Callithrix jacchus: one gene and its partner. The protein of the gene in region 1 purifies or fractionates together with the protein of each later gene. This does not show direct contact. Links are inferred from orthologs where the notes say so. Each region holds a gene or a part of one and is shown on either strand. Other genes may lie near its edges. The genes, in order: VIM and NES.

Region 1 (3,435 bases):
AGACCCTCTGTTTTGAGATTAATCAAAATTCCTCATTCTCTTTAATGTAAGCAAAATTCCTCATTCTCTTCAATGTAATAGAATACGCTATTGATCTTTTTTGAGAGGTTAGTAAAATATTTGTTATGTCTTTTTTAGGGCTTACCAAGTAAAAATGAATGTTTTCATTAAGTTGGATCTTTTTATCACCCACTCTTCATTCATTTTTTCCCAAAGATGATAGAAAAGTCTCAACAGTTTAATACTCTAAGAGTATAAACTGAACTCCAAATATAATTACTGACAAGATAAGCAATCCTCATGCATCCTTTAGAGAGAAAATAAAATCTTAGTTGCAAAAGTACATATTCTGATTTGGAATGTTGCCCTTTACAAATGGAAACATAGAAGGACAGCTGAATCAGCAAAAATTCATGTAGTTTCATTATCTGCAAGCTTGGTCAGTGATTCAGAAACAGGCTAACTGAACTGATACAGTAGCAAGTGAAAAAGACATGCCTTTATGAGAGGAGCCAAAGGAGTTTTAGAAGAAAACTCCATCAGAGAAAGCAAAGCAAATACATTAAGAATTACGTGTCTTTTCCATTTTTTCCTGAACTGAATCTTAGGCAATGCCCATATTCCTGAATTGGGCTATTATTGAATATAAATCTAGCCTTGTACAATGGATGCCAGATGGCTACATATTTGCTCTGGAGCCTAAGGATGAGATTCAGAAGATTCTAGTGGAGAAAAAAACTTAAACTCTTAAAGCATGAGTTTCTGTTCTTTATGTGCTCAAGTGTACATGAAGTTGTGAAATTTTGTCCATGTCTATTATCATGTTATTCCATGAAATTACAAAACCAATCTTAAAAATGTTATGACAGAGATTTTCTAGATTTCAAAAGTAATTAAATTAAATTAATTTTTTTGAGACAGACTGTTTCTCTGTCACCCAGGCTTGAGTGCAATGGCACGATCTCGGCTCACTGCAACCTTCGCCTCCTAGGTTGAAGAAATTATCCTGCCTCAACCTCCTAAATAGCTGAGACTACAGGCGTGTGCCAGCACACCCAGCTAATTTTTGTATTTTTAGTAGAGATGGGGTTTCACCATGCTGGCCAGGCTGGTCTCGAACTCCTGACCTCAGGTGATCCCCTGCCTCTGGCTCCCAAAGTGCTGGGATTAACAAGCATGAGCCACCATGCCCAGCCTTCAGTAAAACTTTATTTACAAAAACAGACAGCCACGGGCTGCAGTTTGCTGACCCCTGATCTATACAGGTTGGATTTTGTTGATTACAGGCATGAGCCACTACTCTGAGTCTTAAAAAGTAATTTTAAAATGTCACTGGTAAAATGTGGATTCAGTCATGATTGCGTACAGTTTACCACATTTGTAGACATTTATTTATTTTAAAATTGTCTGATCACCACCTTGAGTAAAACACAAGGGGTCATGATTAAAATTTATTAGTGAGCAGGAGAAAGCGTAGCATATGATAGCACTAAATGATTTCTAAACTTACTCAAGGGTGGTAAAATTTGTCAACACCTTTTCTATAGTAAGGAGACTAGGTTTAGATGGTTAATCTAAGATGAATAAGTGAGAGAAGCCATAGACTTTTACATCCTCCATGTCCTGTCTTTTCTCTGTTCAAAATAGGATGTTGACAATGCGTCTCTGGCACGTCTTGACCTTGAACGCAAAGTGGAATCCTTGCAAGAAGAGATTGCCTTTTTGAAGAAAATACACGAAGAGGTTAGTAGAGTGTCTTTCGGGAAATGAATGAAGGTAAGGCAACCCCCACAGTTGGCACAGCTGACCTTCTATCTGCTTTTTTTTTTTTTTTTTGCAGGAAATCCAGGAGCTGCAGGCTCAGATTCAGGAACAGCATGTCCAGATCGATGTGGACGTTTCCAAGCCGGACCTCACGGCTGCCCTGCGTGACGTACGTCAGCAGTATGAAAGTGTGGCTGCCAAGAACCTGCAGGAGGCAGAAGAATGGTACAAGTCTAAGGTAGGAAACAAGTCCCTGTGGCCTGCACAGAAGAAAAGCATTGAGTTCTCAAAACACCATTCCTGTGTGTAATTCCTATCCTGTAGCTCCAGTTAAAAGCTGGCTTTGACTTGTTGCTCACATTTATTTATTTATTTTTGAGATGGAGTCTTGCTCTACTGCCCAGGCTGGAGTGCAGTAGCATCATCTTGGCTCACTGCAACCTCCACCTCCCGGGTTCAAGCAATTCTCCTGCCTCAGCCTCCCAAGTAGCTTGGACCATAGGCGAGCACCACCATGCCCGACTAATTTTTGTATTTTTAGTAGAGATGGGGTTTCACCATGTTGGCCAGGCTGGTCTTGAACTCCTGACTTCAGGTGATCTGCCTTGCCTCAGCCTCCCAAAATGCTGGGATTACAGGCATAAGCCACCACTCCTGGCCATATCACCTCCTTCAGAATAGCAGATTCCCTTCCTCTTAACCGTGCCTCCAAGTAAACCCCAATGCCATACTTTGACCTCCACTGTGTTTAAATGAGTACAGTAGAGTGAACTCTGAAGATAGTAATGTCAGTGTTCCACTGCTCTTTCTCTGGCTTTCAAAACAGAAATTTAAGCCTATACTGGAAGACATTCAGTGGGAAATATGATCTTTTTTTTCTAAGAGAGTCAAGACTTGAATGGGAGCAATGTACATTTCTGTTTTCTCCCCGACAGTTTGCTGACCTCTCCGAGGCTGCCAACCGAAACAATGATGCCCTACGCCAGGCAAAGCAGGAGTCCAATGAGTACCGGAGACAGGTGCAGTCCCTCACCTGTGAAGTGGATGCTCTTAAAGGAACCGTGAGTACCAACCCTGCAGTAAAAGAGGGGAAATAATGACCCATTCTGCTGACTATGCTAATGGCGAAGCCTGAACAAAATGTTGAGTGAATAAAAATTTATACGGTAATGCAAAGAAAATGACTTATCACGACAAACTCAAAAAGGACTTGATGGCGCTCTTGAAGGTTTTAGCTTGTGTATATCATTGCTTCTCATATGAAGGACTTGGTACTTGCATTCTCCGCCTACGACTAGAGTAGTTGTCATTTGCCACTAATGGAAATTATTGCAAGAAGACTAAATGGTTCTGGGAATAGCTGGGTTTTTCTGAGCAATAACACCAGAAACCTTTCTCACCTCCTGCAGAACGAGTCCCTGGAACGCCAGATGCGTGAAATGGAAGAGAACTTTGCCGTCGAAGCTGCTAACTACCAAGACACTATTGGCCGCCTGCAGGATGAGATTCAGAACATGAAGGAGGAAATGGCTCGTCACCTTCGTGAATACCAAGACCTGCTCAATGTTAAGATGGCCCTTGACATTGAGATTGCCACCTACAGGAAGCTGCTGGAAGGCGAGGAGAGCAGGTAGGAGCTCAGGCTTGGATGCAGGAACCATTGGGCTCTAA
Region 2 (4,295 bases), on another chromosome or scaffold:
TCATGAACTTTCGAATCCTTAAACGGCTGTTTTGAAGATTAAGTCAGATCATGGAAGTAAAATGTTAGAACAGGACTGGGCACATCATAAAGGCTGGATAAACTTTGGGCTCGTCGTTAGGAAGCAGGCTGACAAACATGGTTTCCATGTTTTCATTTAAATCTTTAGTTAAAACTTTGAATAGTTTTAACTAGGCCGGGCGCGGTGTCTCACGCCTATAATCCCAGCACTTTGGGAGGCCGAGGCGGGTGGATCACGAGGTCAAGACTTGATCGAGACCATCCTGGTCAACATGGTGAAACCCCGTCTCTACTAAAAATACAAAAATTAGCTGGGCATGATGGTGCGCGCCTGTAGTTCCAGCTACTCGGGGGCTGAGGCAGGAGAATTGCTTGAACCCAAAAGGCGGAGGTTGCGGTGAGCCGAGATCGTGCCATTGCACTCCAGTCTGAGTAACAAGAGCGAAACTCCGTCTCAAAAAAAAAAAAAAAAAGTTTTAACTAATGGTGGCCTCTTCCTGCTGCTTCCACTTATACTTGCCGCTAGAGGGCGCCCTCCACTCAAAACTCTCTGGCAGGGCGTGCGGGAGAAGGGGCCCTTTCCCCAAAACAGAACTTCCGAAAGTGGATGTATGAACCTCGCAGTTATACGGAAGAATTGCAGGAAAGATGGAGAGAGAAACGTTCTTAAGCCCATGTCGGCCCTTCACCGGTTGCTTCCTTTTCTGATGAAGACTCAAGCAATTGAGGATGTGTGTGTGTGGGGGGGTGTGTGTGTGTGTGTGTCCCAATATCAGACATTTGTTCTTGTTCTCCAGGCAGCGTCTCTCCATCTTCTTTCTGCAATGCTTTGTAATGTCTCCAGTATTTCAGGAGGATGAGCATTTGCTATTCACAATAAAGAAAGAAAACTGGTTATATCCATTTTTTCAGCAGCCATGCGATTTCCATCATTGCTCCCATTTTATGGATGAGGAAACTGAGTCTTAGAGGAATTCAGTAAGTGATAGCTCCCTCGGATGTGTTGAGTAACTGAGGCCGCACTCCCCTCTAGGCTGGAACGTCCTGGCACCCCCACCCCCACAGGCTCAGTTCTGTGTATTATCTGCCTTTTTCCGGGATTGTGACCTTTCTTCACCTCCTCCTTCCCCAGAAAGCCACCACCATCAGATCCGATTCTCCACGGCACGGCTTCTTTTTTGGTTCCACTCTCCAGCATCCCGGGGAAGCAGGGACAGAGACTGCTGCCATTCTCTGACCTCTAAGGGGTTAAGGCCTGGGTCCCGCCCCTCTTCCCGCCCGCCTGGCGGGAGTATGAATAGCCTCGCTCCCACTCCCGACTCTCAGTCGCTCAGTCTACTCCCACTCCGCCCTGCCCTGTCATTGTCCCCGTCGGTCTTTCTCTTCAGTCCGAAAACCTCTGCGAGCCGCTCCCTTCTCCTGGTGCCCCGCGTCTGTCCATCCTCAGTGGGTCAGACAAGCAGGATGGAGGGCTGCATGGGGGAGGAGTCTTTTCAGATGTGGGAGCTCAATCGGCGCCTGGAGGCCTACCTGGCCCGGGTCAAGGCTCTAGAGGAGCAGAATGAGCTGCTCAGCGCGGAGCTCGGGGGGCTCCGGGCACAATCCGGGGACACCTCCTGGCGGGCGCGTGCCGACGACGAGCTGGCTGCCCTGCGGGCCCTCCTTGACCAGCGCTGGCGGGAGAAGCACGCGGCCGAAGTGGCGCGCGACAACCTGGCTGAAGAGCTGGAGGGCGTGGCGGGCCGATGCCAGCAGCTGCGGCTGGCCCGGGAGCAGACGGCGGAGGAGGTGGCCCGCAACAGGCGCGCCGTCGAGGCGGAGAAATGCGCACAGGCCTGGCTGAGTAGCCAGGCTGCAGAGCTGGAGCGCGAGCTGGAGGCTCTGCGCTTGGCGCACGAGGAGGAGCGGGTAGGCCTGAACGCGCAGGCTGCCTGTACCCCCCGCTGCCCCGCGCCGCCCCGCGGGCCCTCGGCGCCGGCCCCGGAGGTGGAGGAGCTGGCAAGGCGACTGGGCGAGGCGTGGCGCGGGGCAGTGCGCGGCTACCAGGAGCGCGTGGCGCACATGGAGACGTCGCTGGGCCAGGCCCGCGAGCGGCTAGGCCGGGCTGTTCAGGGTGCCCGCGAGGGCCGCCTGGAGCTGCAGCAGCTCCAGGCTGAGCGCGGAGGCCTCCAGGATCGCAGGGCAGCGTTGGAACAGAGGTTGGAGAGCCGCTGGCAGGAGCGGCTGCGGGCCACTGAAAAGTTCCAGGTGAGGAGGTTGAGGATCTGGGGGAGACCGGGCTTCAGAAAGTCTCTTATGAAGCTCAGAGACCTTCTGGGAAGGGAGTGGGGCTAGGTGGCTGCTGATTCAGGAGCCACTTCTTAGAAACCTGGTGCCACAAGCCCTAGACTTTTCCAGCCCGTCCAGTGTAGGGTGCAAATGGTGGGACTTCGGAGCCTCCCAAAGCACATCCGGGGGAGGGCAGTCAGGCCCAAGACCCCTTGCAGCAGTCCCCCTACTCTGGATGGCGTCGTCTGGCTCTGATGATTACCGGGGCTCCGGGCCCCTCCCCAGGCTCTGCTATCACTGGGAGACCCCAGCACTGTCGCCTCTGCACTGAGTCTGGTGGGCTGGCCACCCAGAATCTTCAGGTTCCTCACAGCCCTCCTCCCGCTGAGGGGAAAAGTGAGGGGCTGGGAATGAATGGCTACCAGCCCCCTCCCCTGTCATGTTTCCCGGCTTCCTGGAGCACATTCCAGAGGCCCAGGACAGCTGCTCCTTCTCACAGGGCACAGATGTGACCAGCAGCTGAGAAAACAGCCTCTTGCCTGGGCCACACGGAGGTGCCACGGCCACCTCCCCATCCCTCCTCTGAGAGGAGAGAGAATCCAGAACCTGTGGAAAGGGAGGTGGGGGTGGGGATTGGAGCCTGCTGTGAGGAGCAGGAGACAGCCTTGGAGATGGGACCAATGGGGGACCTGGCTGTTTGCCTTCCAGTCCTGCAGGCTCCAGGCCTCTTGATTAATCGTTTTTCCTTCTGCTTTCGCTTTTTTTTCCCCCCTCTTCTCCTCTTGGTAACCCATCTCCTCTCCTCCCTCACCTCTGCTTCCTGTGGGAGCTGCGTTCTGAGCAACATGTGCTACCATTTAATCAGCATCCTCAGAGGAGGAGCAGGCCGTGGGAGAGGGCTCGGAGGGCTGACACGGGCTTGGGCTCATCTTGGCTGATGCAGAGGGGGCTGTCTGGGCAGGGAGTGGGGTAGGGGAGGTGGGGGTCTGCTGCTCGGAGTCAGCCAGGGAGCGGGAGATGCAGCCCCGGCAGTGGCAGGGGCAGCAACAGCAGGCAGGGTGCAGGGTGGTTCACAGAAGGGACCCCAGCCCTTCCACTGACTGCCTCTCGCCTGCCCTACAGCTGGCCGTGGAGGCCCTGGAGCAGGAGAAACAGGGCCTGCAGAGCCAGATCGCCCAGGTCCTGGAAGGTCGGCAACAGCTGGCGCACCTCAAGATGTCCCTCAGCCTGGAGGTGGCCACGTACAGGTACGAGGTGGGCCCGTCCACCCTGGCGCACAGAGGCGCACACACACACCGCGGGAGACTGTGTGACTGAAGGGGACCAGAGGTGTCGGTGATGGCAGCTGTGCTGCCACTGGGTTCTGTGACTGAGCTGGTCACTGCCACACCAGGACATGTCCTGTGTGAACTCATCTGTCCCTCATAGGATGGAGACCTGAGAAATGTCCTGTGCCCAGGAAATCCCCCCAGGAGAGAAGATATTGCAGAGTGGGACAGCCTCTGGAGAGGCTACATCCAGACCCTTCCCCCCGAGGGGCAAAGCTCCAACTCTGTGTGTGTGCCCACACCCAGGGAGTCGAGTCCTTTGGCAGCCATAGAAAGTAGCCACTGCAGGCCTGGGGTGGCTGCACTGACTTGCCACCTGACCTGGGCCTCAGCCTTGTCTAGGGGCTGAGGGCTTCGCTGGGGACTTCCAAGGCCTCTTCTAGTCTGGATGTCATGGGGCCTGGCTCCTCTGATGCCCCTAATGCCCTTGGTCCTGCCCAGCCTTTTGTTGTCCACATTTCCTGTTGTCCTGGAGAAGGCTGAGACCAAGGAGGGGCGGCTTCTCACTGGCTGTGTGGCCTCAGCCACAGCCCATGGTGTCTTCTGGGAAACTGGGCCTGTGAGCTGAGGGGCCATGGATGGAGCCTGTGGAAGGGGCTCTGTGCCTGGTGAAGAGCCTCAAGAGGTCCAGGAAGGGGGGAGGCAATGCCCAGAGGAGGAAGGTCAGCGAGGCTCTGGG

What was found.
Region 2: the proteins of VIM (region 1) and NES purify together in Homo sapiens (affinity purification with mass spectrometry; 3 studies listed by BioGRID and IntAct, counting the BioPlex papers as one, with this or other methods). This does not show direct contact. The link is inferred for Callithrix jacchus from reciprocal best matches to the Homo sapiens genes VIM and NES.

Annotation. Positions count from the first base shown.
Region 1 is NC_133508.1:18,041,742-18,045,176, forward strand, and holds part of VIM (vimentin), read left to right. Parts: intron 1-1,647; coding exon 1,648-1,743; intron 1,744-1,840; coding exon 1,841-2,002; intron 2,003-2,699; coding exon 2,700-2,825; intron 2,826-3,173; coding exon 3,174-3,394; intron 3,395-3,435. UniProt on the Homo sapiens protein: Vimentins are class-III intermediate filaments found in various non-epithelial cells, especially mesenchymal cells. Vimentin is attached to the nucleus, endoplasmic reticulum, and mitochondria, either laterally or terminally.
Region 2 is NC_133519.1:17,080,070-17,084,364, reverse strand, and holds the start of NES (nestin), read left to right. Parts: upstream 1-1,344; 5' UTR 1,345-1,484; coding exon 1,485-2,267; intron 2,268-3,410; coding exon 3,411-3,535; intron 3,536-4,295. UniProt on the Homo sapiens protein: Required for brain and eye development.